Xenopus tropicalis: one gene and its partners. The main gene of each other region encodes a partner of the protein of the gene in region 3 in a complex. Links are inferred from orthologs where the notes say so. Each region holds a gene or a part of one and is shown on either strand. Other genes may lie near its edges. The genes, in order: brd8, sin3b, morf4l1, epc1, mbtd1, vps72 and phf12.

Region 1 (3,500 bases), about 70 Mb from region 3:
GTTAAATGTATATAGTTAAATGTATTTTTATTTACTGATGTTACGGTCCATTTAAATATGAGTTCTGCCAACGAGCAAAAATAACAGCTTGAAATCACTTACTAAAGCATTGTCTATAAATAGACAGTGGGGGGGGGAAGATTAACACAGGCTAAAGAATTCTCACATATTTCCAAAGAACTGAAATTAGATTTTACCCCAGGAGGTGAGAGTCAGTAAGAAGAAAAAGGCTCCTCCAGGGCAGAGTGAATTTACATAGTTACACAAGGCTAAAATGTACTATATACTGTAGTACAAATTGCGCAAATAAATATTTTCAATTACAGCAACTTTTTCCAGTTTTGGACAATTCAAAACAAAATCAAGACAGTTGTTTAAACATAGTTTTACTGTACATTATTTACAAGTTATTCACAATATATTGACAACAATTTAATAGGTGAATGGAATTTGCTTGTGGCAAAAACCAATCTATTTTGTTTGGGAGTGTTTTGCTTCAACTGGAATGGCAATCTATTCTTCTATTTCTAACAGATCACTCAATCATTATGGCGCCTGATTTTCTAGATGGGTACACCTCACTTCTTCATTTTCATGTCTGCTTCAATAGCACAACGGCGGCCTCGTGTACCTCCATCCTATTAGGTAAAAACAGGAAGGATTAGAAAAGCACCCTGGATGCATTTTTAAGCTAAACCTTGCAGCACACATAATTATTTATATTGCAACACATTAGGCAAAATGCAATACTCTACATACCTTCAGTTCTCCGACATCAGAATTTTTTAACTTTGCCTCACTCTAGTGCTGACTCAACCCTGCCTGTTTGCAGATTTGCATGTTCTCTGAAGTGCTGCTCTTAATAATAGTAAATCTGCACTGAAGAAAATATTCTTCTTTTCCATTTCACTCTGTACTTTGGTTTATTTTTTTTAGGTGCAATTTAAAACTTATATAAATCCAGCAAAAACATGAATAGCTTTTTGCTAAAGCTCTGCTATAAACCACCATTTTGAGAAAAAAGCTGCACAGAAATGTAGGAAGCAGTTTAAGTTGCAGTAGAAACAGAACAGCATTACCAATAAAGCACATAGAAAACACTTTCAGGACTTTGTCTGATAGCTTTCATTACTAAAGGAAGCAGGATATGAAAGATACAACCTTTCAAACCCAGTGCAGCAATTCAATACTTACAAAGAGAGAGAGAAGGAAGGCAGGAGAGCCCATGGGGACACTGTCCTGTTAACAGACAAACAGAAAAACAGGTCAGATTCCATGGAGACTCTCCAACACAAAACACGCATTTCAGACACACGTGACAGTAAATGAAGCAGAAGAGAAGACAAGCCCACAACATTAAGCTCAAAGTTGCAAACACAAGAAACCCATAGAAAAACACTGTTTTGATATAAATATTTCACAAAATTCACATGGGCTAAGAAAGCAAAGCAAGCACTCCACCACCAAAAACTTTAGTTACTTTATCATAAATAGAAAATTAGTTAGCAAAAGTATCAAATACTTTCCACTATTAATTAAAGACCAGCATAATTTGCTCGGTATACTAGGAGCGCACATTATCGATTGAATAGTGCCTCCATTGAAAGGTAAAAAAGTATATAAATTTCAGTTTTATATAAATTTTTCCCCAGTTGTTAATCTTATGACTTCTCTCATATTATGACTAATATTTTGGCCCCTATTGCATGTGTAACATAGAGATCTAAATATATATCTATTTTCAGCCTGCAGTTTTCCCTAGCTGCTATGAAGGAGATATTGACTTCCTTATGCCCTCCTACAGTCTGCCTGTCTAGTTAAAAATCCCTTTAGTAAGCCAACAGATGACGTGATCAGTTGAATGTGGCCATTACTCCAGGCAAAGATAAGCTGAAACAGACCCTTTCAACCACACCATGCACAAAGATATGCCACAGGGCTTTCACAGACTGCCTTTTTTTTTATAAACATCTGTACATTTCTTGGGGATTGAAGCAGCTCTAAATTAAAAGAAATAATTGTTATCAATAACGAACAGTGATAGCTAGGCCTCTCTGCACTGGCAGACATTAGTAAACATGGATATTTTTACCTTCTCTGAAGCATCTTGCTTGCGTGTTGAATCTCGAAACCTTAGACTTTTTGCACTTATGCCTGACTCTGATGTCTGCATGATTAACTGGGTGGCCAGAAATTGCTGTGTATGAGAAACAAATCATGAGCATATTATATTGGAATTATTATAAAAGGTATACTTTGAAAAAATAAATGGTGTGTTGGATCTTTAAAAGTACACAAGAAACTAATGACCACTCAAAACTGAATTTAGCAGCCTAAATTCTTAAACTAGGAGACCTAACCATTTGTGCTGGCTTGGGGGGGGGGAGGAAAAAGGTCAAGAGATGGATTAAGTCTTGAAATAATTGACGCATGGGTTGTAGGCTTCCTTTGTCCTTTTGGGTCACAGCTTAATGAGATTGAGTCTATGGCTGGAAAATGCATGCCATGTGCCTAAAATAATATATACAGGCCACATAAAAGTAAAATCTAGTTAGAAATTGACTATTGCATGGTTCAGCCTAGCCTGAAGTTATCAGGAAATTAGATACCTGGATCTGTTCCAACACATCTCTCTGCATTTCAACAGCCATATGATACACATCATGGTCAGAGCTATTATACATGACTGCATTCTGGAACATGAGCATAATATCTCGTTGAAACTCTGCAGTGCTCCTGATTAATCCAGTTTCAATGTTTTTCTTTATTGTAGATAAATCCATAGGTCTTGGAGGTAATAAACAAAGGAAAGGATATTAAAAGGGATCAAATAAAAAATCATTAAGCCCAACTAACAACATAACTTGTCAAATTCATTATATATCCATCCTTGCCTTACCTGTGTACAATGCTGTGATAGCCAGGGGCTATATCATCTGTCACAGGCTGCAGGAAAACATTGGCATATCTAGGAAAAGAGATTACATACACTCTAAGATTTACGATTTATGTAAAGAGAACTTCAAACTCTGATATATCAAAGATTTAAAATGCTATATCAGATTAAAGTAAAACCAGTAGCAGTTTTTAATGAAATCACAGCAGGTTTGTTGATATTCACAGTTATTCAGATTACAGTCCCAATGAAAATATGAAAATTGTCACCAACATGTTTTCTCTTAAGCTACTGCAGCACATGGCTGACTCTCTGCCTGCATATTAACACAGACAGAGAAATGGCTGATTTGGAGTTGATGGCACAATAATGTGAAAAAGCATTTTTTGTGCCAAATCTAATCTGTGTGTCTGCACACAGGCAACACTGTGTATGTCAGTGCAATTACATCATAAAGTGGACCATGATTTGTTACATTAACATTAAAGAAAAAGTAAACCTTTAAAATAATTAAATGTAAAATTTAAGAGATTGCTATTCTAAGCACTTTAGCAATTTACATTAATTATTTATTAATTTCAAGATATTAAGGGATAAAATACTG
Region 2 (3,500 bases), on a different chromosome or scaffold from region 3:
TGAATATACTGTTGTTGAAATCTAAAAAAAAAAACTATGCTTTACATTATTTTTGTTAGCTAAACAGGGAAACCAAAGCTACCTCATGTTTAGTTAGTTGCATGTTAGATAATTTGAATACCAGTGCACAAATGAGCCAAAGTCCATTATGCAGGCAAAATATTTGTAAGATTTCCTGTAATCTAATTATTTAACTTGCAGGGACCAAATATGGAGTAGCTTCAGTTTGCCAAGTTTATCTCAAGGAATAGATTAGTCACAAAAAGCATGTTTAGCACAAGTCCTATTTATTGAAAAAAGGGAGTGTTCTGCCCCTTTTAAAAACATGCTAAGCAAGTCTCTCTCTAAATGTGACACTCAGTGTGCATGAATCATTGAAAGCAAAAAAAGATATTGAAATCTCTCATGTAATACTTATTTCAAGAGATCTATGGATTTGTGTATGTTACATTGTTGCATGAAGCTAAACACTTGTATTTGTATCTGTGAAAAGGCACATGTGCTTCAAGTGAGGGCACTCACGCTCCCTGGGGGCGACAAAGCAACTGCAAACACCCCTTTACTGACTAAAATGGCAGTTGTCTTGGGTAAAACATTTTGTAGTGTGTAATGGCATGACATTGCCTTTGCTTGCAACAATTCTCACTGTTAATGATGTCAAGTTATTTTGGAGTGTTTTGTTGCTGCTGTAAGATGCAATTTCTACCCAGTGACAAAGCTTGTTGTGTGCCAATCTCCTTTAAACTTGACAAAACTTCAGGTTTTCCTTCTTTGGATAGCTGACCATGTAACAGGTTTTTGGGGTTTTTTTTGACACGGCATGCCACTGAGAATGCCAAAAAAAAAAAATGCACCAAATCCAGGATTTGGTTCAGAATTTGGCCAAGTTTCGGACTTTTTCAGCAGGATTTGGGTTCGGCTAAATGCATAGTCCTGGCCGAACCAAATTCTTAAAATCACAGTAAATTTTTGTCACATAAACACGGAAGTTAAAAAATTTGCACTGCACATGCAGTTCTTCCATCTAGTTTCCTTCCTAGTTTGCATATGAAACTTTGGATTCAGTTCGGTTTTCAGCTAAATCTTTCGCAAAGAATTCAGGGTTCGCCAGAATCCGAAAATAGTGTATTTGGTGCATCCCTCAAAATAAAAAGAAGTGATGAAGAAAGCACTTAACCAAAGAGAATATACTCTACTTATATATAACAAGCTAGTTTTCCTGATATTAGTGTAAGGTAGGATAAGGTCAAGATCATAGGAATATTTGTCTAGAAAATGGGGGGCATGAAATGAAGGACATCACAGTAACTTTGTTTCAAATATCAGGGAGGCTAATAACTCTATCTGATAATGTTGGGGATCTCAATCATAAATGCCTTTAATTGGACTTCTGTTGTTCCTTATAATAAAATCAACTTTAAGCCCACCATACACGCACCGATGACAAAGTTTCGTACGATATTTGGTGTGTGTATGGCGGCTCGAAGAGGCTACCGATATCGCAAAAGGCTGCAGATATCGGTCGACTTTTCGATCCGCCAGGTTAAAAGATTTTGATGGCGCCCAAGCAAAATCTACGTTCAGGGCTGAATCGGCAGATGGAGGTAGAATTTCTATTGTTTCTACCTCCATATCTGACGATTCAGCCCTGAACCACAGTGGAGGGTGGGAATGACCAATGGTTGCACAAAAGATTGAAATGCTACGAGTGAATTTGGTTTAATTAACTGTGTCTTTTGTTTTATTAACCCTGCAGTGCTTATTACCTCTATCCTACACTCTAATCAAAACGCAGTAGGGTAGATTGCCCTTTACTGGTAGGCAGCTAAATAATACCACATGAAAAAATGATATATCCACAGCACACAGTTTAAGGGCTAGTTTAAACATGGATATTAGTTTTAAAAATACAGGTGCCTGTCTGGAAAGAGCAATACAGGTTCCCCCACACAAAAACTGCTCACCCCACCTCTGGTCCAGGTGCAACATGCCGCAGACCTTGCACTCAGGTGCAAAAACTCACGGCCAGGGTGAACCTACTTCCAAACAAGAAAGCATTATGCTTACCAAACAGTCCTGTTGACCCGGGTGCTCCTGCCCTGAGTCTGTAGCCAGCGGACCAATCTCGTCACAAAACTTCACAAATTGGCAGTGCACTCCAGGACCTCTCTGAGGAAGTGCGCTGTCACGAAATGCGTAAGACCTCAAGTTGTGTTTTTTAAATGCGCAAATAAAGGTTGATTGATTTTAATACCAGCTATTGCAGCTTTTTATGCTGACCTGGAGTGCACTGCCAATGTGTGAAGTTTTGTAGCTAAATAATACCCCCAGCTTGTAAGAAAATATTGATTGCTGGTTTATAGGTATGGGAGGAGTTGTAAACCTAAAACCATAGTGCCTAATACATTTTAAGCAACTTTGCAGTGTATATTCAACACAATTCTTCAATTATTTCAACTTTTTTTGGAAATGGTATTTAAAGCATTTTTTTCCCCTGCTTTTTCTTGCACTGCTAACTCTTGCAGCAAAATAGAAGATGCCAGCTGAATAACACATCTGTGAATAAGCATGCAGGGCATTGTGGGAAGTGTTGTGACAATATAAATTTAGTTCTTTACTTTAAGAAAGTGTTTGTCAACAATAGCATCTATAATGTTTTCATTTGTAAGAACATGGATTAAACTGTTTAAAAGAATTATAGGTATGGGATCTATTATTACAAAAACATATAAAAATATATAAATATAACATTTCACACTTACCCCATCATCATCATGTATGATTAGGTCTACATAGATTTCATCCTTTTTAACATCAGGTGGCACTGGGGGGGGGGGGGGAATCCATTATTCGTGCAGCAGGGAGAAGTTTTCCCTGAGCATACCTGTATGTTCCTGACTGCTAGAGAATGTTAATGTTCTTTCAGTGTCAGTGGAGAAGGGTATACCTGAGCTTAGCCAATCAGTAATCCTTTATCCAGTATAATGTGTTTGTTTTATGAGTGTGAAATGTCTACTTTTTTAAATTATAGGTGGAAGATGCTCTTTCTTATTTGGACCAAGTAAAAATCCGTTTTGGAAGTGATCCAGCTACTTATAGTGGATTCTTGGAGATTATGAAAGAATTCAAATCTCAGAGGTATGGTTTTTGGCAGACCAGGATAATTTTTTTATGCTATAGAGAAGGACACTGCTCTAATTTATTTTTTTTTTTTTTTTTTGCAGCATTGACACTCCTGGAGTTATCCGCAGGGTCTCTCAGCTGTTCCACGAGCATCCAGACCTGATGCTTGGATTTAATGCCTTTCTGCCACTTGGTTACAAAATTGAACTTCCAAAAAATGGCAAAGTGGTTGTTCAGACATCCCTGGCTAGCCCTGTAAGTGACACCAGGATATAAAAATCGGGGGTTGGGCAGATAAAACACTGTATGCTTGGAGCAGATTAATAAAAAAATACACTGAACTGAATTTTTTTTTTTTTTTGTAGGTGTCATCAGAT
Region 3 (4,272 bases):
CCAGATTGGGCAAAGATATACACTGACGGGTCCTGGGGTGTGGTTCTTTACCACCTTAGATTAGACAAATACTAAATTCCCCATTCACATACGGTCATACTGCACAATCTGGAACCTGCCCAAACACAAGCCATTTAGGATGCCCATGAGTAGGCAAGCTTTAGAGCATATGCAAGACTAAAAGTTTAAGCAGCACTGGTATAGCCAATATACAAACTTGCTACACAGAGATCCGTATGTTAGTAAGTCTAAGCACAGGATCTTTTAATTTACTCACAGTAAAATTCTTCCGGTGACAACTGGGAAAACAGCAATTGCAACAGAAGGTAAAGTGGATACTAGAATATACAGAATATATACAGAAGCTGCCATGAATCCTTTCTGCCTTCCTCTGGCTAAAAGTACAAAGAGCAACTTCTTTCCCCCTATGGCTTTTCCAAATCTTGCACAAGCAGCCACTGTCTCACTGGCAGGGTAAGCACAAGCCTCCTATAACAAATGGTATCAATCATATTTACACACACACTAAGTAGTAAAAATGGTGTGTGGTGTTACAGTTCAACAACTGTGGCTGGTAAACCATGGCCACAAGGTTAGTGGTAAATCAGGGGGCATATTTATTACAGTGTGTAAGCCAACATCACTAGTGATGGTGCCCATAGCAACCAATCAGTATTTAGAATTTGACAGTTACTTACAAGTTAGAAAACAAAAGATCACCAGAGATGTTGGCTTACACACTAAAAAAAAAAAAAAATATGCTGAGGTGTGTTGACAGCAAAGTCCTCTGGTGCAGAACAGCAGTAGTTAAAACACCAGTGTCACCACTGGTATTTAATAGCAAGGGCCCCTGTTCACACACAAAGAGGACCTCTGAGCGTGTGAACCTCCATGCAAAAAGTGACAGACCATTAGGAGTTGTGACAGATGGAGAGGAGCATTTTGACTTAACTGCATAAGCCTTTCCTCTAAAAAAGCATATCATAGTAAGGGCAACTCCATTAGGTTTCTGATATGTTAAAAAGGCAGCTATACATACACCAACAGTGTCAATTAATTTAAGCTGTTGATTGGCAGCAGAAAGAGCTCATTCTCTAGATGAGACATTCTCTATACCAGTGGTTGTCTGGCTTTATTAGTTCTAGACTCCACCACCCATGGCCACCAAACCTAACCTCATAACATGACTAAAGATATCTGAAAGAGACTGTTCCACATACTACTAGGTCAGGAAATAAGTTTTTATCCCAAATCTCACAAAGACTGGACTTCAGGCTAGACTGTCAAGTGTAACTAGAAGAGCAAATTGACAACTCCAAATTTCACTAATAGGGATATGATTCAGTGACAGTACAGTCCCAATGTTTCTTCATTAATGTCTTTGGCCAACAGTGCTGAGATCCACAGATGCAGAGAGATCCAACTACAGCAGCAACAGAAAATGAAGAAAGGGCTAAAGAGGACAAAGATGCTGTAAGGCAGGACTATGGTGGACTATTCTGGAATGACAGAACAAGAAATCAGATTCCTCACATTTTGATGCAGTACTAGAACACATGCTGGTGAGAGATTTAGAAGCAAGCCTGCTCTTCACTCTACCAAGATAGGACCTTTGTGACAGCAAAGTGATATAGGAATGGTGTAAAGTTAGTGGACCTAACCTTGCCCATTAAGGGCTCTGCCACACAGGGAGATTAGTCGCCCGCGACAAAACTCCCTGTTCGCGGGCGACTAATCTCCCCGAGTTGCCTTCCCCTGCCATCCCACCGGTGACTTACATGTTTGCCGGTGGGATGGCGGGTCATGGCAACTCGGGGAGATTAGTCGCCCGAGACAAGGGAGATTTGTCGCGGGCGACTAATCTCCCCGTGTGCCAGAGCCCTAAGAGTAAGGAAGGTGCCAAAGCAACAAGACTTTTGTTTGGGTGCAGGTTTGTAGAGAGAGCAGCTGGAAGGCCACATTTTCCATCCCTGCACTAAACACAGATCAGGTCAATATAAACCAACACCCCCATTACAACTGGTCAAGCTAAACACTGTATTTCTGCATGTGTCAGGCACAAGAAGCCGTAGGCAAGCCTATCCCCGTCCAGCTGCTCCCTATACAAGCAAGGCATTCTTATGAAGTCATGGTCCCGTCACTCCCACAATGGCGAAGAGGTAACCAAGCGTCTGAGCTACTGTCGCGCTATAAAAACGGGGTAACCAACCTGCGACTGCCCATCTGAGCTACTGCCGCACTGAGGCACGGCGCACAACAAAGATTTCCCGCTTGCTGCGCCTGCAGACAATGCCACGCCCCCTCCCCCATAAGGAAAATGCGAGATTTTACACGGAACACACTCTGCTGCGACTTCCCCACTCGAACTACATTTCCCAGCTTCCCCCATACAGCTAACCACGGCGGTCCTCAGGCTAGAGAACTGAACGATGTATGTCACCCCTTTAACGCAGTAAAGGCGAGGGGCGGATTTGTTTGACTGCAACTCTCAGACATTCGTAAGAGCTTGTATTGCCAGTTGCAGCCGAACAAATCCAAGAGCCGCAGATGCGATATCTTTCAGCCCATTAACTGCGCGCATTATTGGGGCACAGCGCTCTGCCGTCTGGTCTACCGCTCGGCGTTCACTTAGAGCAAAGGGGTGAGTGAAGACTACGGTGTAATGGTGGAAGCCACGTACAATGGCTTATGCTTACCCTCTTGGAACTTAGGCCTTGGGTCCTGCTTCGGCGCCATTTATAAACTCCGCGGCTCCCGGGAACGGATCCGCCGCATCTACTCACCGCGCGGACCCGCACGTCACCGCACGCCGCCTGCGCATGCGCGCAGGGATATGCCCAATGTGGCGAGCATGCGCAATAGCCACTAGCCCTCCCGGGGCACTATGGGAAATGTAGTTCGGCTTTAGTGGCGCAACCTCCCCCACCCTCACAAACAAAACAAGCATCTTCGCATTTCTGCTACAGTGGAAATAAGATGGAATGTTAATAAATAACATTTACTGTTCAAGACTAAATGCTAGGTAGGTACCTCAGGTATCTATTTCTATATCGATTTTAATGTTACTCGAGGCTGAATGCTTAGTTTACATATTCCAGAAAGTATTTTTTCATACAACGGCGCAAAATCTCACGCATTAACGTTTACTTAGTGTCTGGAAATACATAAGGCAAAATTTACCGAATGAAAACGTTACGCCCAACGTGGGGCTCGAACCCACGACCCTGAGATTAAGAGTCTCATGCTCTACCGACTGAGCTAGCCGGGCGCTGTTAATTCCGTTAATTTGCGCTCTAGTTACTAATAAGTATAAAGCAAAGTGAAATTTTCTCTGTTCTATCTATGGATTCTGGTCTTTTTTCCTCATAAAGTGTCAATTTACACTAATAACTCTTGCACACTCCTGCAGGGCAGGTATAAGCACAGAGGTCACCCACAGAGGCCAGCAAACAGTGGCATAACTAAAAGCTAATGGGTCTGACATTAAATTTATTTTAGCCCCCCCCCCTTAAAATTTACAAATAAGACAATTTTTATAAATCTATATTGCAGCTGTTTATTAGTCAATATCTTACAGGACCTCCTATTCCTCCTGGCAGTCCGGGACTGCAGCAGTGGCGTAACTATAGAGGAAAACCAGAACATATAGGGGCACAATTACTAATCCACGAACGTCCGAAAAGGGTCCGAATGCGTTTTTTCCGTAATGATCGGTATTTTGCGATTTTTTTAGTAAATTGTCGCAACTTTTTTGTAGCCGACGAAAGTTTCGGATTCATTCAAGCTTCAGTATCGTGACTTTCCTTGGGCCAGGTTGGAGCTGCAGAGTGTCATTGAGCCCTATGGGAGACTTTCCTTGGGCCGGGTTGGAGCTGCAGAGTGCCATTGAGCCCTATGGGAGACTTTCCTTGGGCTGGGTTGGAGCCGCAGAGTGCCATTGAGCCCTATGGGAGACTTTCCTTGGGCCAGGTTGGAACTGCAGAGTGCCATTGAGCCCTACGGGAGACTTTCCTTGGGCCAGGTTGGAGCTGCAGAGTGCCATTGAGCCCTACGGGAGACTTTCCTTGGGCCAGGTTGGAGCTGCAGAGTGCCATTGAGCCCTACGGGAGACATTCCTTGGGCCAGGTTGGAGCTGCAGAGTGCCATTGAGCCCTATGGGAGACTTTCCTTGGGCCGGGTTGGAGCAGCAGAGTGCCATTGAGCCCTATGGGAGACTTTCCTTGGGCCGGGTTGGAGCTGCAGAGTGCCATTGAGCCCTATGGGAGACTTTCC
Region 4 (4,175 bases), on a different chromosome or scaffold from region 3:
ATATAAGGACAGGTCACATGGCTGTGGCTCCCTGAGAAATGAATATGCCTAGCCCCATCTGAAATTTCAAAACTTAATATAAAAAATCTGTTTGAACTTTAATAAAACAAATTCCAATGCAGGATTCTGCTGGAGAAGCTCTATTGACTGATGTGTTTTGGAAAATAAAAAAATACATTTTCCCATGACAACATTCCTTTAATCACTTATAGCATCATTAAGTTCTTTCAAAAATGCATCAGCCCATCTCTAATCCAACACTAAGTAAAATTTGGATTTAATTTATCTGTCATGGTCTGAAACTGATAATGTGACCTTAAATTAATCACCTACACAACAATGTGCCATCCTGATAAGGTTTACTTCCATGGGGCAGTTCTGAGAAAAGGGCCTTTGTGCCATTAGCCTGAGCTTTGCTGTTCTACACTTTAGGGCTCTGGCACACGGGGAGATTAGTCGCCCGCGATACATGTCATGACAAATCGCGACACAGGGAGATTTGTCGCGGGCGACTAATCTCCCCGTGTGCCAGAGCCCTTAGGGCGAAGACATGTGGATCGATTAAATGCGGTGACTTTTTAAAAAGGCGGTGGCGGCACCATAGGATACTATACAGGACGCTGCAACTAATCATGCGCCGATTTGCACTGCATGGATTAGTTGCCACACGTCTTCGTTCTTACAGCAAAGTAGAACCTGACGAAGAGGCCCACCCCCAAAAGGTTGCTTCATGTGCTGCAGTGTTCCTTGCATGGCCATTTAGTAGGGGTTCCCTATACTTTTTTTAGCACCAGGTTACTTATTTTTGAGAGGCCAGGCGTGTGTAGTTTTTGATTCTGGTATGTTTTGGGTCAGGCCGATACTGAATACTCTGTACAAACAGCAGGTTTGTATTAACTGATGAGTAGTGCCCCAGTGCTTATGGCCCCACTCACGCCAGACAGGTGCAGCAATGACAGGCTGTACGGCCCCAGCTCACACACAGATACAGTCATGTGAATATGTTATGGAAGCTGGGGTGCAGAAGCCCCAAGAATGCAGATGATAACATACACTGACAGACTGCTGGCACGTGCAACCCAACTTGGGGTACTACCATTGCTTACCAATCAGATATACTCCATGCAGTCAGAAACATCAACTGTCTCCTACAGAAGTCCAACAAAGGTCAGAAGGAAAAAGCCAATTCTACTCTCACTTAAAAGCAAAATGTCAACATACTACACTTACATATATTATCTACAGCGAGGCCAATCCCCAGCCCTCACAGCAGCTTCACACTGGGTCCCAAACAAAACATTTCTTTAAAATGCAAAACTGATGATTAACCCAGGGCTGCATTATGGAGAAAATCTGTCAAAATGCAACTACATTACATGGCGCTTTACAGGCATCATTTCTGCCTCACATCAGTCCCTGCACCAGCAGAGCTTACAATCTAAGGTTCCTACAACATTTATATACACTAGTGCCACATTTTATTAGGAGTCAGCTAAGCTGCCTGTATGTGTTGGAGAGACCATTCCAGCCAATGGTTAATCCTAAATAGACAGCAATGCACTGGCCAAACCCTGTGTTACACCCCATTAAATATATACATCTAACAGTATAGCTTTAATCAGAGAACCTTTAGTAGATCATATTACTGACTATATTCCCCACAGCACAAGCTCAAGTCAGCAAAGTGGTTTATTTGTGCATTATGGAGGGATTGTACCCCCCTGGGAGGCATCAGAATGAACTACTACAATGAATAAAACGTGTGCCATGAACTAAGTTTACGCTTAAAAAGCTGATTTATTATATACACACACACACACACACATATATATGACATGGCCGATACATAAGAGATAGTTTCAAGCAATGGCGTGTTTCTATACAACTCCACAAAGACAGCAGAGAAACTACTACAGCATGCCGGCTCTCAGCTGTCAATCAGCTCCCAACGTACACAAACAATCCCACAAGGTGAGCAACTCCTGATCGCCAGCTCCCCCCAGCGACCGCACTTGGAGCTGCAACCCCGCTCAACAACCAGGCCCAACCCCAAAAGACAGGGAGAGAAACACACACAACAAAATGGCGGACCGCGGCCCCATCACGTGACCCCTTTGTGCCTTCCCGGCCGCTAAATTCTTCCCAGGTATCACCGGCGGACACACCGGGGACATATATCCCCACAGGGAGATCCGCTTTAGCCTCACGAGCCACCCCCGAGGATGGAATGACAGGGGGAGAGGTATGTGCGCCATCCCCGTTCCCGTCAGGGAGGAAAATGGCGGCCATTTTGTGTAAGCTTGCGCAGAGCTGGGACCGGGCGGAGAGGGGTAAAAGCGGTAAAGAGAAAGTGAAAAACGGTGCATTACCGACTCCTCTTCCTTCTCCATGCCCGTCGGCATCTGCGGCACGGCCCGGTTGATGGAGGCATACTCGTGCAAGTCCGGTAAATCCTCGCAGCGGAAGACGGGTAACGGTTTGGACGCGTCCAGCGCCCGCGCCCGGAACGATAATTTACTCATGGTGTGTCTAGCAGCGAGCCATGCGACCGACGAGCGGGGAAAATCTCCCGTGCCGCGCTCTCATGGAGCTCTCTCCGCGCCCCCCCTCGCTGCCTCCCCGCCAGCCTTGTTGTTCCGATAATAATGATTAATATTAGACAGGGCGCTTATCCTGGCACTCCCGGTGCCCGTGGCTCAGTTTGGGGGGTGGTTTGGTGGGAGTCTGTGTGCTCCTGTGGGCCAGTCTCTCCCTCCCTCTTCAATACGCCATGGCCAACATGGCGGACATTAAAACTCCGCTGTCTGCTCCCCCAGCCAACCCGAGCTGCGCAGCCATTCCCAGAGTGCATCGCGCGTTTGCGCGCTCTCCGGGCCCGCAGAGAAAAGCGGGGGCGCGCACAGCCGCTTCTCGTGCCCGCGCCTCTGTGACAGGACCCCGGTGCTTGAAGGGTCCCTCCACCTGGCGCCCTGCTGGGATGTGTAACAACACCAACAGCTTCACAAGGGAAATAAACCACTAATATGTGAATAAAAAGAAAATGTCTTTCTAAGCAACTTTATAATAAACAGACATTAAAGTTATTGGCAAACGTTATTGCAATTAATAGCACTGCCTGTCCCTGTTGTAAATCATGAAACAGTGTAGCACAAGTGAACTCTTCTGTCCAGTCAGGACTGCTATCAGCTACATTGTTTGATTTCAGCCTTCCATGCATATGGGCTTATGACTTCAATTGGCTCTCATCAGTGTCAGACTGGGAACCCTAAACCCAGTGTTGGACTGAGATACCAGGGGCCCACCAGAAAACCTTAGACCCCAGGCCCGCTTTCCAAACTATTTTTTTCTCTTTTCCTCACCCAGCCTCTTTATTCTCCTAGTCCCTTTTATTAACATGCTAGCATATATTCTTCCATTTATTTCTCCTCTTTCTTCCCATACTGAAATAGGGAATGAACATGAAACAGGCCAAATGATCAGGAGGGCCCACGGGGAGTTTTCCTGGTATCCTGGTGGGCCAGTCTGACACTGGGTCTTCATACATGGAGGGTTGTCCACTTCAAGCCCCCGTAACAACAAATACAGTCAAACCACAATTTTACATTCTCCAGGGTGCCAAAAATTGGGGTGCTACTGTATCTGCTTTTGTAGCAGTTTCGCCAAAATTTTCACCATAGCCCATAGAAATACAGGTGGCAGCCACATGCCCACCAAAGTCTTGTTGGTTTGTACCAAGAGGAGAACCAGCTTTGGGCTTTTACACACAGGTGATTCGCCCTGCATTTTCGGTGTAATGCGCTGCAGGAAAACACTGTGAAATGCCCGTGTGTAGGAGCCCAGCAGCTATCCAGACCCATTATTCTGACAGCTATGGAGTTATAAAGGAAGTATTCATCTTCCTATGTTGAAGACATTCTTTATCCAGAAGTTATTTCTTATTTAATCTAACCAAGTATTTCATCCTTGGTCATTTTTTAACCTTTGCTTTTTTGGCAGAGTCTGTAGATAGCATTGTTTGCAAATATACATATATGCCAGTAAATAAGGCTCCCTTGCACCAATGTGTCTTTCCAACCAAAATATATAACTAATAGAAATAAAAGCCTTACAGATGGTTCTGTACAGATCTTTCTGCATCTTTTTACTTTAAAAGGGTAGTTCACCTTTAAGTTAAT
Region 5 (4,109 bases), on a different chromosome or scaffold from region 3:
TCTTCTAAAATCGTATCTGTCTCTGGTTTGTCTGCCAAAGCCTTTAAATGTTTGGTCCTCAGCTCCTCCTCCTCCTTCATGTTTTGCTCTTGCTCTGGAGATTTGTCTCTTCGCCTTTTCTTATGGGAAGTCTTCTTTCTTTCATTTTCATTACCCTCGATAGAAAGCATTTCCACAGCAGAATCTGTAAAACCAGCATAAATAAAAAAACATTAAAGTTATAAAAACTCATTTTAAATTATCTAAATACAAGCCATGTTATAAATTGATACAGAGCTAATGTTTACTCAAAAAGTTCAACAAAAACATAGTAGTTTCTTAAAAAGTAACCCAAAGCACTTTCAGATTAGTCCCTGTGGCAGCACAGATTTACCACAAGTAACTAATCTCCCCTAGTATGCCATCTTCCAGTTGCTAATACAAACCAGCCATGTTATAAATTGATACAGAGCTAATGTTTACGCAAAAAGTTGCTAATAGGTAATAGTTAAAAAGTTGCCTAGGTAATTTGGACCTTAGCAACCAGATAGCTGCTAAAACTCCCAACTATATTGCTGCTAAACAAAACTAATGATATAATAATAATAATAAAAGTCATTGCAAAGGTTAACTACCAGTTCTAGCAGAATGCCCACATATGAAATACACAAAATGAGAGGTGAATGCTGGCTGCTAATCTGTATTCTTCTAAAATAATAACTGATCACTTCTGCAATAGGTGTTTTTATGAGTGAACCGTATTTTTAAGAGATACAGTAGTAACCGTATCAATCTGGCTAGTTTGCAATATACAATATACAATTCCAAAAAAAAAACCTGACGGCAAAAATAGAAATGCTTAGCAAGTAAACAGGAGGGACGTGCCTCTTGAGTCTCAACAACGTGTGCAAATGCCAATATAAAACATGCACAAGACACCGTTTTCTTTCGCAGATATAAAGCTGAACGTTCCACTCACTGTGCCCAACGCACGTGGAACTTCCGGTGACCTTTGCCCTCTACAACCCGGAAATACATGTTTCTAGCGAAAGAGACGCAGCAAGATAATTTACCTTGTACCTTTCGAGTGTACTTAAACTTGTATATCCGAAAAAGCCCTTACTGCACCGCTACGTGAAACAATCCGTTTTTAGCACTTTCCGACGTTCTAAGTACTTCCGTAATAGCTACAAGCCACCGGAAGCCACGGCACCCGAAACGTGCCAAACTAGGTTATTCGCGGAGGCACGGCTCTTACTATATAAACCCGCAGCCAATTGCTGTAGGTTTAGCGTTGCGCCTGCGCAGTAAAGTGTTTCTGGTTTTGTTGATATTTTGAAGGAGTTCATTGTTTTGCTCTTTTTTTAGTCTCTATTTTCTTGGATTGTCCCAGCCCGCTGACAGCGGGGGCTGCATACACGATTTCCTCATGAGGGACTAATGGAAAAGACCAAGGATCTGGTAAGTAAAGGGCACGGGGTGTATGGAAGTGCTGCTGCCCTGGCTCTTTTGTTGTCATTTCTGTATGCAACGAGGCCTTGTGGTTTCTGGGAAGTGAGGGTAGTTTGGGCTGGGGCCAGGGTACCGTGCGTTTGGAAACCGGACAAAATGTGTTTAACACTAAGCCTCATGTACAATAAAGTCCTTAAGAAGAGGGTATAGCAAGCCAGCAGGATATAGGCATGTTAAACTCAACACTCCAGCTCTCAGCCTGACTGCTGTTGGTATGCTTGCACTTTCTACATGTACACTCATGATGCTCAGTAAGGTAAAGGTAGGGAATTGGTACCAAAGCCCAACAGATAGGAATTATACACACCTTCCATCTCATTTGCCACTTTGTTGACTTAGTAACTATTAAAAGTAAAGTTATGCCTATGTGTTCATATATGGTGCATTCCACACAATAATTCAGCAACGCATGCATAGGAGCTCAAGTTGCTCTTGAAAGTGTATTATGTTGTGCATTAGGCAAAAAAATAGGCAGACTGATGATCAGTGTGGGAAGTAATGAAAGGCCTTTGTGTGCTATACATTTATTAGGGGAATTCATAAATATAACGTCTGTTTTACACTAATTTTGTAACCCATTGTCCCTAATCTGCAAATGCTTCTGAGCAATTAGCAGTTTAATGTTTTGGCAACCTTGCCAAACAAGTGGGTCCCATAGCTGCTTCCACAGAGTGTAATAGAAGTTCTTTGCTGTGTGTGAGTGTGTGATTTATGGTTATAAGGCACTAACCTGACACTAGGGCTGAAGGCTAAAAGACAGTCTTCAGTTTCACTGTGGAAGCAGTTTATTTTGTTTTCAATGTTGTTCTTTGAATTCTCAACTTCCAGTCTCTGCACACAGCCCTGAACCAGGCTAACAATGTGGGTTCCAGCTATCAACCCAGCCATTTGTTTGCCTCTTCTGTGTTGGTTCATTTGTATTACCTATCTGTTATTATTAGAAGCCAGAAATTGTTAGAATATGTAAAGATTTTTTTACACACTTTTAAATAGTGCATACTTATTTCATTTGTCAGAATCACATATGCTAGTCAAGGCTAAAGTCTGTGTACTGTACTAGTGCATTATTAAACCTTGACTGTTGTAGTTATGTTGTAGAGCCAGTAATTCCACAAATCAGTAGTTCAAAATGATGCTGGGTTTTGTCGCTTTCTTTATGGGAATTGAGATTGGCATTGTCACCTGGTAATTAAGAAGATGCTTGATGCCAATAGGGAAGAAAGGATGGGTTTTATTTTATTCTTTTATCCTGTTTTATTCAGTGAGATGTTCATGTAGAAATCTTTGTGTTTGTATCCAGTAATGTTGCCTTAAGGTTGCTTATGTAGCTAAACTAGTCAAACTAGAAAGGCAACCAGTTCTTGCAGAGAAGGGGAGGATCCTAGACCAACCTACCTTTTCTGAAGAACAAAATCGGCATATTCACATGGGATTTTTTTATTGTAATTATCGCAATGAAAGCAAAAACAAGTTGCTATGGTTTCTGTGCTAGAGCGATATTTTGCTTCTTCTGCTTCCCATCAATCTCCATTAAACATTCATTGCACAGAGCCATTCCAGAATTACTCAACCCAGTATGAGTGTCTTTTTCCTATAATATATGTAAGAAAATACAGGTTTGCATTTTGGCCCCTGCTGAAGTCTTTCCAGTGAAGGAAAGGTTGCTTGGGGCAGAGAATATAGCAACTAGAAATCCATCTAGAAGTTGGGTTTGGTAACAGCAACCAAAGCTATAAAGTCAATTGAAATTCCTTTTTTCTTTTATACATGTTTAGGCTGATCTTTCTTCACTTTCTGAGAGAAAACGTCGGGACTCATTCGGAATGTTTGACGGATATGATAGCTGCAGTGAGGACACCAGCAGCAGTTCCAGCTCGGATGAGAGTGAAGAGGAAGTCGCCCCCTTGCCATCCAGTCTGCCCATTATCAAAAACAATGGGCAGGTTTACACATACCCAGATGGCAAATCAGGAATGGGTATGTAAAGTGATTTTATGTTCAAAGAAAAAGGGATATGTGCAAATGATGAGCCATTTCTCTCAATGTGCTCTAGTTGAAGGAACAGTGTTGCCCTGCACTGGTAAAAGTTGTCTGTTGTTGCAGAAACGCTTCTGCAGTTTATTTAAACAAAGCTGCTGTGTAGCCATGGGGGTAGCTATTCAAATTGAAACAGGGCTAAATGGCACAGGTTACATTGCTATAACAGTTAAGCTCTGTAAAACACCATTGTATCTTACAGACCTCATCTGCTGTGCATTTTCTCAATTGCTCAGCTTGAATTGCTTCCCCCGTGGCTATACAATTGCAAACACACAACTTTTACCAGTGCAGGACAACAGCACATTATATTTTAATTACTTTAAAACACTTTTTAAATTGTTGATGTTTCTTTAAAGCAAGTTGTAAAATTGCAGTAACAACAAAGCAAACTTTGCTTCTCTCTGCACGTACTTTTAATACTTACTGGAAAATCAATGTAAATAATTATTGTGAAAACATTTTCACAGGGAAAATTATTTTATCAAGTTCAGATTTTTCTTTCTTTTCTGTACACAAAAGGAAGATGTATTACTCAGTGTTGTGTGCACTGCAGAGCTATTGGCTTTCTTTTTTAATGT
Region 6 (2,680 bases), on a different chromosome or scaffold from region 3:
GAGAGCCATGCAGCCTTTCTTTTATATCTGTGTGTGTCTTGTACTTACTGAGAGCCATGCAGCCTTTCTTTTATATCTGTGTGTGTCTTGTACTTACTGAGAGCCATGCAGCCTTTCTTTTATATCTGTGTGTGTCTTGTACTTACTGAGAGCCATGCAGCCTTTCTTTTATAGCCGTGTGTGTCTTGTACTTACTGAGAGCCATGCAGCCTTTCTTTTATATCTGTGTGTCTTGTACTTACTGAGAGCCATGCAGCCTTTCTTTTATAGCCAGGCTATGCTACTTTTTTAATATTTCCTTGTATTCCCCAAACAGGAGCCAATTCAACTCCTTAAACCAAAGCCCAAGAAAGCAGATGCCCCTCCCAGCAGTGCAGCAAAAAGCCGCCCAGAAAAGCCTCACCCTCAGGAGACACCAGAGGACGCAGTAGACAGTGAGTATGCCGCGGGCAGTGAGCTAGGGGGTTTCCTATGCTCAGAATCCGATTGGCTCTCCTAACTAGTCTTCCCCTTTAAACTCTCAGGCCGCAAACAAATGCGCCAATCGACGACGGAGCACACGCGGCAGACTTTCCTGCGAGTAAAAGAGCGGCAGATCCAGTCCAAGAAAAAGAAGGGGCCCCACCAGGACCGACCGCTGACCCAGGTGGAGCTGCTGGAAGAAGCCAAGATCACCGAGGAGATCAACATCCGCTCCCTAGGTGCGTGAGTACCGCCACTCCCCGTCCCGCTCCGGTGCCCTCCCCCCCCCCCCCCCCGTGCTCCAATGGTTTCTCCCTTTCTCCCACAGAGAATTACGAGCGCCTGGAAGCCGACAGGAAGAAGCAGGTCCACAAGAAGCGACGGTGCGTCGGCCCCACCATCCGCCACCACTCGCTGGTCATGCCCCTCATCACCGAGCTCAACGTGAAGGAGGAGAATGTGGATGTGGAAGGGTAGGTGCAACATGGCAGCTCCTACTTTGTACAATTCCCTCTTCCCATTTGTTATGTGTAACAAGGGGCATCCTCAGTGGGCAAACCCATCAGTCATGTGATGCTGCCCTGTGTACATTACATTTCCATCCTTGATATTGAAGCAAACGCCTGGTTGTTAGGGTCAGTGACCCTAGCAACCAGATACTCACTTTCTTAACCATTACAACGTTTTCTCTTGTTGCTTTTCTTTTATGTGTTGGGGGCCACAGGCTGGATCAGGAGCAGACAGGGGACGGCGCCCAAGTTTCGTCCGCGGGCAAATGCTCCCGCACTTTCATAACATTCAGCGACGACGAATCCTTCGAGCGATTCTTCCCCAGGACCAAGCAGGGCAAGTTCTCAGTCCGGGACATCTGCCCCGTTACCCATAAGCCGGCCCAGTACCGAGACCCCATCACAGACATCCCCTACTATAACGCCAAAGCCTTCAAAATCATCCGGGACGCTTACAAAAAATACATCACCACGCACGGCCTGCCTAACGCCGCCATGGCGGCCGCTATGGGCCCCGCCCCCAGTTCTGCTGACGCCGCCCAACGCAACACGAGGCAGAAAATCATTATCAAGCAGAGCGTGCCAAGCGCCTGATACAGCGCCCTCTAGCGTCTGCCGGCCATTACAGCACTCTGAGAGAGTTATGTACAAAGGATTATTCCCATTGGGAAGCTGTAGAACATCTACAGGGGCCACATTGCTCCTCTGATTCCTGGAGTAGAAGAAATGGGAGGGGCCAGGGGGTTGAATTTCTTAATGAGCCCCCTCACATTTGGGGGGGGGGGGGCTGCTCCCCTTAGCAGTAATGTAATTGGCCGCCATTCAGTTCAAATTACCAAATGGTAAACCCCGCCCACCCCAAACACACACAGGGGACTGGGACACCTGCTTCCAATAGCAGCTAAACAAACAGTATGGGGGGTGGGGCAAAGGCACAGATGCAGTTACCAGGGTGGCTTTAACCTGACTGACGTACTGTATGTTATATAGGGCTGAGCTCTCTCTATAGGCTACTATCTGGTTGCTAGGGCTTGATTACCCTAGCAACCACACACCAGGTCCGATAACACACTATAAAAATTGAAGTCAGTTTGCATTTTGGTTTCCAGAGATGTTTTGTTGGTTAAATGCTCCTAGAGCACTGGGGGGGGGGGGGGGGGACTGTCTGTTATGTACATTATAATAAATTTGATTAGTAATTTCTGTGAATTGTAGTTAGTTGTGAGTTTTATTATGGCTTTTCATGCTGAGTAAAAGTACAGGGCGCCAGTGGCAGCATAGGGATTCCCCTGTACTAAGCACAATTCAGCAGGAACAGCCCCCTAAGTTTGCCCATAGCCTGTACAGAGAGATACCATAAAACTATGGCACATAGGGATTCCCCTGTACTAAGCACAATTCAGCAGGAACAGCCCCCTAAGTTTGCTCTTAGCCTGTACAGAGAGATACCATAAAACTATGGCACATAGGGATTCCCCTGTACTAAGCACAATTCAGCAGGAACAGCCCCCTAAGTTTGCCCATAGCCTGTACAGAGATATACCATTAAACTATGGCACATAGGGATTCCCCTGTACTAAGCACAATTCAGCAGGAACAGCCCCCTAAGTTTGCCCATAGCCTGTACAGAGAGATACCATAAAACTATGGCACATAGGGATTCCCCTGTACTAAGTACAATTCAGCAGGAACAGCCCCCTAAGTTTGCC
Region 7 (3,500 bases), on a different chromosome or scaffold from region 3:
GCTAGTATAAGCTGCCGAATCGGCCCGTGTATGGCCTCCTTTGAAGTACTAAAGACTCTTATTTTGTAATTATTACGTCTTCAATTCCAGATGTAAAATCAATCTGGCTGGACTCATGGCAATCATTTACCCCCAATCTAAAAAGTACATTTTGCATTTACAGTGCTGTTGAAAGAAGAGTCTGTGACAGTTTTAGGGCTGTGGCATACCAAGATGAAAAACGGTGCAGTTGCTTTTCACTTAAAGTGAACTGGTGCACAGACTCCCAAGTGTTTCAACCAACAGTTCAGTTGAACAGAAGCCACATGCTTACACTGTGCTGTATTGCACACTCAGGACTTCAGTAGGAGTTGGTTAGGCTTCAGGAAACTTGCTTTAAACTACTAGGCAGTTTGACAGTCTTGTTTTCTAATCTAATTAGTATATTTGACCATAAATCTTCTCTTCTTTACATTACAACCTCTAATAAATAGCATAATTTCTAACTTGAGCCTATTTGTCCTAGGTTCCAGATGCTATTAAGGCACAGTATCAGGCTCCTCCTCAGTTAATTCCTCCAGCCGGAATACGCGACGGGGAATTGATTTGCAGCGGTGACCCTGGGGAATCTCAAAAGCACCTATTGCACTCTGAGCACTTAGCTAACCAAAGCGAGCAGCAAGAGGTAAGTGCCAGTTTTAACACGTTCAAGCAAGATAGTGCAGCTCCACAGTTTACCTAGCTGACCAGTAATTACATTTTTACAAATTAAAATCTTACTGCATGGATACAGATTCTGTGTGTTACTGTCAGTTGGTCTGACATCCTCAAAAATGAGCTTCCTTCTGTTTTATTAGTGTTGTTGTAAATAGATGTTTGTAAACTGGATCTGTTGCGGTCTGTAAGTTTGTTGGACAGTATGGTTGGTCTAAGGCAGATGCTGCAAACTACTTTTCCCTAAACCAGGCAGGTGTGACTGTGATAAACACGCACACACGTGTGTCATAGCTTGCACTTTTTTTTTCTGGTTTGTCAAAAGGGATTATGCATTAAGAAGCTGGAAATAATATTTTGGAATACCTAACCCAATACAGCTTTTATCCTTGTTATAGGTGCATGTTTTGCTTACTTTTGGTTATCGGTCGGAAGGTAAAAGTTTGCTGTAGTTATGCATGTCCTACGTTTAAATGCCTCAAGCAGCTAGCCTTCACAGTAACAAACTGCAATGGCTTAGGTCTTTCCTGACTGACTTGTAGTTTGAGCCCTACTTGGTGTCTGAATGCATATAACATTTTTAAGCTTTGGCTAGATTGGACATTTTTTGACTTTCACTGTTCTGAAGTCAAAATATAAGTGACATTATACCCCCCAAATCAGAGTTTCTTTGGGAATTAGCTGTTGTCTTACTGTTGGATGCTACCCGCACCTGTGCAAGTTACTGTCTTGCTCTAAGGCTAATGTTACAAAAAAAAAAATGGAAATATTAAGAGCCAGCAGTATATTTTCCTCTTGTGAAAGCATTATTGGCTCAGCTTGCTGCAATTTTAGCCCAGTATGATGCCATTGCTAGAGGGCAGTAGGGGGGCTTGGCTAGCAGTCTAAGTAGTGTGACTTTATGCTAGTGGGGCCATGGTTACCTGCACAGTGCACAGAGATGGGCCATTTCATAGGCAACCATAGGAAGTTCCTTGTGCTGAGTTTGGTTTTGGTGGAAATGTTAATATAGAGTAACTTGCAGTGCTTTATACATACTATTCTGCCTTCAGATAAAGGCACCCAGTTGTATAGCAGGCTATTCTTTAATGAGCTGCTATCCTACATGGCCACAAAGGCTACTTCTTAAATTTACATACCCCCTGTGCAACTTCAGACCTGATATGCTTGATTTAAATTGCTGAAATTGTTTTGTTCTTTAGTGGCTCCGTAGTGTGGTTGCACTTCAGTGCAGCATACTGAAGTATTTATCTGCTAAGCAGATGCCTCCTTCCTGGACCTCTGATGACACAGACTCATTGGACATCAAGCCAGTTATTGCAGCTGATGGCTCAGTTTCCAACTCTCACCAGCACACCGAGGGCAAGCCCCAGTTCCCCACACCTGTAGGATTGCATTCTGCAAGTCAGACCACATCCTTACAAGAAGATACTGCCTATGTCCTAAAACCATGTCTCACAGCTGCTTGTGGAACCACAAATGGACCTGCTGTATCAGAGTCTAAAGCAAATGGGCCTCATGTTAACAGTGTTAGCCCAGAGCCCATGGAACAGCTGATGGACCCTCAAAGGCTGACTGGACAGACTGCAATGTTGTCACAAAGACAAGCACGGCCTCGTTCAGGCACTCCAACAGCATCTGTGCCTCTCCCAAACCATGTTGTGAAAACTGAAACAACAGCAGGCTCAACCATGTGCACTCAGCGGCTGCCAGTACCAGCCATTACCCCTCCAAGCTCCTGTACTAGTCCTGAACCCTCTAGCACTTTGTCAAGGAAAAATGCACAGACTCCGCTTGGGGCTTCTGTGAACCAACATGACTCAAGGCCTGTCAGTTCACCTTTATCTGGTACCAGGGCACTTACACCACCACAAGCTGTTTGTGACATAGTAACCTCTGCAGCTTCAGGGGCCTCAAGGCTTTGTGCCGCAGCACCACCACCTACAGGTAAGCTGGGTGGCTTTTCATTCCTACATGTTTATTATTTTTCTCAAACCAACAGGTCCTGTTTTATGGCTTAGATTCTAGCTATCTTAATAACGGTGGCCAGACATTCTATATGAAACCCATTGTTAATATTATTGCAAGATTTTGAGCCCTAATAATGATTGATAAGGAGAATGATTGCAGTCAGGCAATTTGGACAATTCTGACCGTACCATTTGACTATGTATGGCCAGTCGCGGTGCCCCTAAAACTGATAAACCTCAATCCTGGTGGTTTGAGGCTTATTGGCCATGAGGGAAAATTTTACTTTGGTGAAGGAAGAGGAGATGCATATCCGTGGCTCCACACTTCCTGCTGTTTCCGAACAGAACAATAGAAAGGTGCTGTGTATGTTTATGGATAATCATATGGTTTGTCAGATTGGCCCATGGGCCAATCAGTCTGACACCGTGCTGATTGGGCCTTGTATGGCCACCTTAATGCTGATGTCCCAAGGAGAGTGTTAGTCACCCGCAATAAATCTCTGCTATTGCTGGAGATTAACCGCTCCAAAATGCCTTGCCACCAGCACCGATAGGAATGGCTGGTGGAAAGGCCTTTGCATCGCTTCAGTTTTCCGAAGTCTCGCAAAGTTTCCTCCTACAGGCAGCTTCGGAAAACTAAAGCAATTCCTTTTGTTGCTGGTGGAAAGGCAATTCAGAGCGGTTAGTTGCAGAGATCTATTGTGGGCAACTAACATGGCCAGTGAGACATTAGCCTAAGGGTGAAGACACACAGAGCTACTAGTAGCAGCTACTTGTCACTGTTACTAAAACAGATGTATGTTCTGGCGTTTAGTAGCTGTGCATAAGTACTTTCTA

The links.
Region 1: morf4l1 (region 3) and brd8 share a complex: the UniProt entries of both Homo sapiens proteins name them as parts of the nuA4 histone acetyltransferase complex. The link is inferred for Xenopus tropicalis from reciprocal best matches to the Homo sapiens genes MORF4L1 and BRD8.
Region 2: the proteins of morf4l1 (region 3) and sin3b are in contact, whole or in part, in a cryo-EM structure (PDB 8BPA), measured with the Homo sapiens proteins. The link is inferred for Xenopus tropicalis from reciprocal best matches to the Homo sapiens genes MORF4L1 and SIN3B. Residues at the interface, in NP_996670.1 of Homo sapiens: Gln217, Gln219, Tyr222, Ser348, Tyr350, Glu351, Val352, Ala353, Pro354, Pro355, Tyr357, His358; in NP_056075.1 of Homo sapiens: Cys394, Arg396, Arg402, Ala403, Pro405, Lys406, Thr407, Tyr408, Ser462, Phe463, Pro464.
Region 4: morf4l1 (region 3) and epc1 share a complex: the UniProt entries of both Homo sapiens proteins name them as parts of the nuA4 histone acetyltransferase complex. The link is inferred for Xenopus tropicalis from reciprocal best matches to the Homo sapiens genes MORF4L1 and EPC1.
Region 5: morf4l1 (region 3) and mbtd1 share a complex: the UniProt entries of both Homo sapiens proteins name them as parts of the nuA4 histone acetyltransferase complex. The link is inferred for Xenopus tropicalis from reciprocal best matches to the Homo sapiens genes MORF4L1 and MBTD1.
Region 6: morf4l1 (region 3) and vps72 share a complex: the UniProt entries of both Homo sapiens proteins name them as parts of the nuA4 histone acetyltransferase complex. The link is inferred for Xenopus tropicalis from reciprocal best matches to the Homo sapiens genes MORF4L1 and VPS72.
Region 7: the proteins of morf4l1 (region 3) and phf12 are in contact, whole or in part, in a cryo-EM structure (PDB 8BPA), measured with the Homo sapiens proteins. The link is inferred for Xenopus tropicalis from reciprocal best matches to the Homo sapiens genes MORF4L1 and PHF12. Residues at the interface, in NP_996670.1 of Homo sapiens: Glu201, Lys204, Pro205, Leu207, Val208, Asp209, Trp211, Asp212, Tyr251, Ala252, Glu255, Val256, Gly259, Ile260, Glu262, Tyr263, Val266, Met267, Thr270, Gln271, Leu272, Leu273, Tyr274, Lys275, Arg278, Pro279, Tyr281, Ala282, Leu285, Arg304; in NP_001028733.1 of Homo sapiens: Cys62, Glu64, Gln81, Cys82, Asn84, Pro86, Pro204, Leu206, Arg207, Arg208, Pro209, Phe210, Leu212, Leu213, Ile214, Ala216, Ala217, Arg220, Asn221, Pro222, Thr223, Gln224, Phe225, Gln226, Leu227, Pro228, Glu230, Leu231, Thr232, Thr330.

What each region holds. Positions count from the first base shown.
Region 1 is NC_030679.2:47,817,573-47,821,072, forward strand, and holds part of brd8 (bromodomain-containing protein 8), read right to left. Parts: intron 2,969-3,500; coding exon 2,900-2,968; intron 2,788-2,899; coding exon 2,610-2,787; intron 2,198-2,609; coding exon 2,093-2,197; intron 1,240-2,092; coding exon 1,195-1,239; intron 639-1,194; coding exon 579-638; 3' UTR 1-578. UniProt on the Homo sapiens protein: May act as a coactivator during transcriptional activation by hormone-activated nuclear receptors (NR). Isoform 2 stimulates transcriptional activation by AR/DHTR, ESR1/NR3A1, RXRA/NR2B1 and THRB/ERBA2.
Region 2 is NC_030677.2:111,959,178-111,962,677, forward strand, and holds part of sin3b (paired amphipathic helix protein Sin3b), read left to right. Parts: intron 1-3,031; coding exon 3,032-3,138; intron 3,139-3,224; coding exon 3,225-3,378; intron 3,379-3,488; coding exon 3,489-3,500.
Region 3 is NC_030679.2:118,095,689-118,099,960, forward strand, and holds the start of morf4l1 (mortality factor 4-like protein 1), read right to left. Parts: upstream 2,801-4,272; 5' UTR 2,737-2,800; coding exon of another isoform or gene 2,697-2,736; intron 1-2,696. UniProt on the Homo sapiens protein: Component of the NuA4 histone acetyltransferase (HAT) complex which is involved in transcriptional activation of select genes principally by acetylation of nucleosomal histones H4 and H2A.
Region 4 is NC_030682.2:22,921,438-22,925,612, reverse strand, and holds the start of epc1 (enhancer of polycomb homolog 1), read right to left. Parts: upstream 2,801-4,175; 5' UTR 2,523-2,800; coding exon 2,370-2,522; intron 2,243-2,369; exon of another isoform or gene 1,318-2,242; intron 1-1,317. UniProt on the Homo sapiens protein: Component of the NuA4 histone acetyltransferase (HAT) complex, a multiprotein complex involved in transcriptional activation of select genes principally by acetylation of nucleosomal histones H4 and H2A.
Region 5 is NC_030686.2:23,317,743-23,321,851, reverse strand, and holds the start of mbtd1 (MBT domain-containing protein 1), read left to right. Parts: upstream 1-1,309; 5' UTR 1,310-1,419; coding exon 1,420-1,440; intron 1,441-3,266; coding exon 3,267-3,468; intron 3,469-4,109. Other genes in the region: utp18 (U3 small nucleolar RNA-associated protein 18 homolog), read right to left, coding at 1-170. UniProt on the Homo sapiens protein: Chromatin reader component of the NuA4 histone acetyltransferase complex, a multiprotein complex involved in transcriptional activation of select genes principally by acetylation of nucleosomal histones H4 and H2A.
Region 6 is NC_030684.2:137,929,488-137,932,167, reverse strand, and holds the end of vps72 (vacuolar protein sorting-associated protein 72 homolog), read left to right. Parts: intron 1-316; coding exon 317-434; intron 435-524; coding exon 525-701; intron 702-790; coding exon 791-935; intron 936-1,186; coding exon 1,187-1,565; 3' UTR 1,566-2,180; downstream 2,181-2,680. UniProt on the Homo sapiens protein: Deposition-and-exchange histone chaperone specific for H2AZ1, specifically chaperones H2AZ1 and deposits it into nucleosomes.
Region 7 is NC_030678.2:33,959,008-33,962,507, forward strand, and holds part of phf12 (PHD finger protein 12), read left to right. Parts: intron 1-505; coding exon 506-664; intron 665-1,895; coding exon 1,896-2,640; intron 2,641-3,500.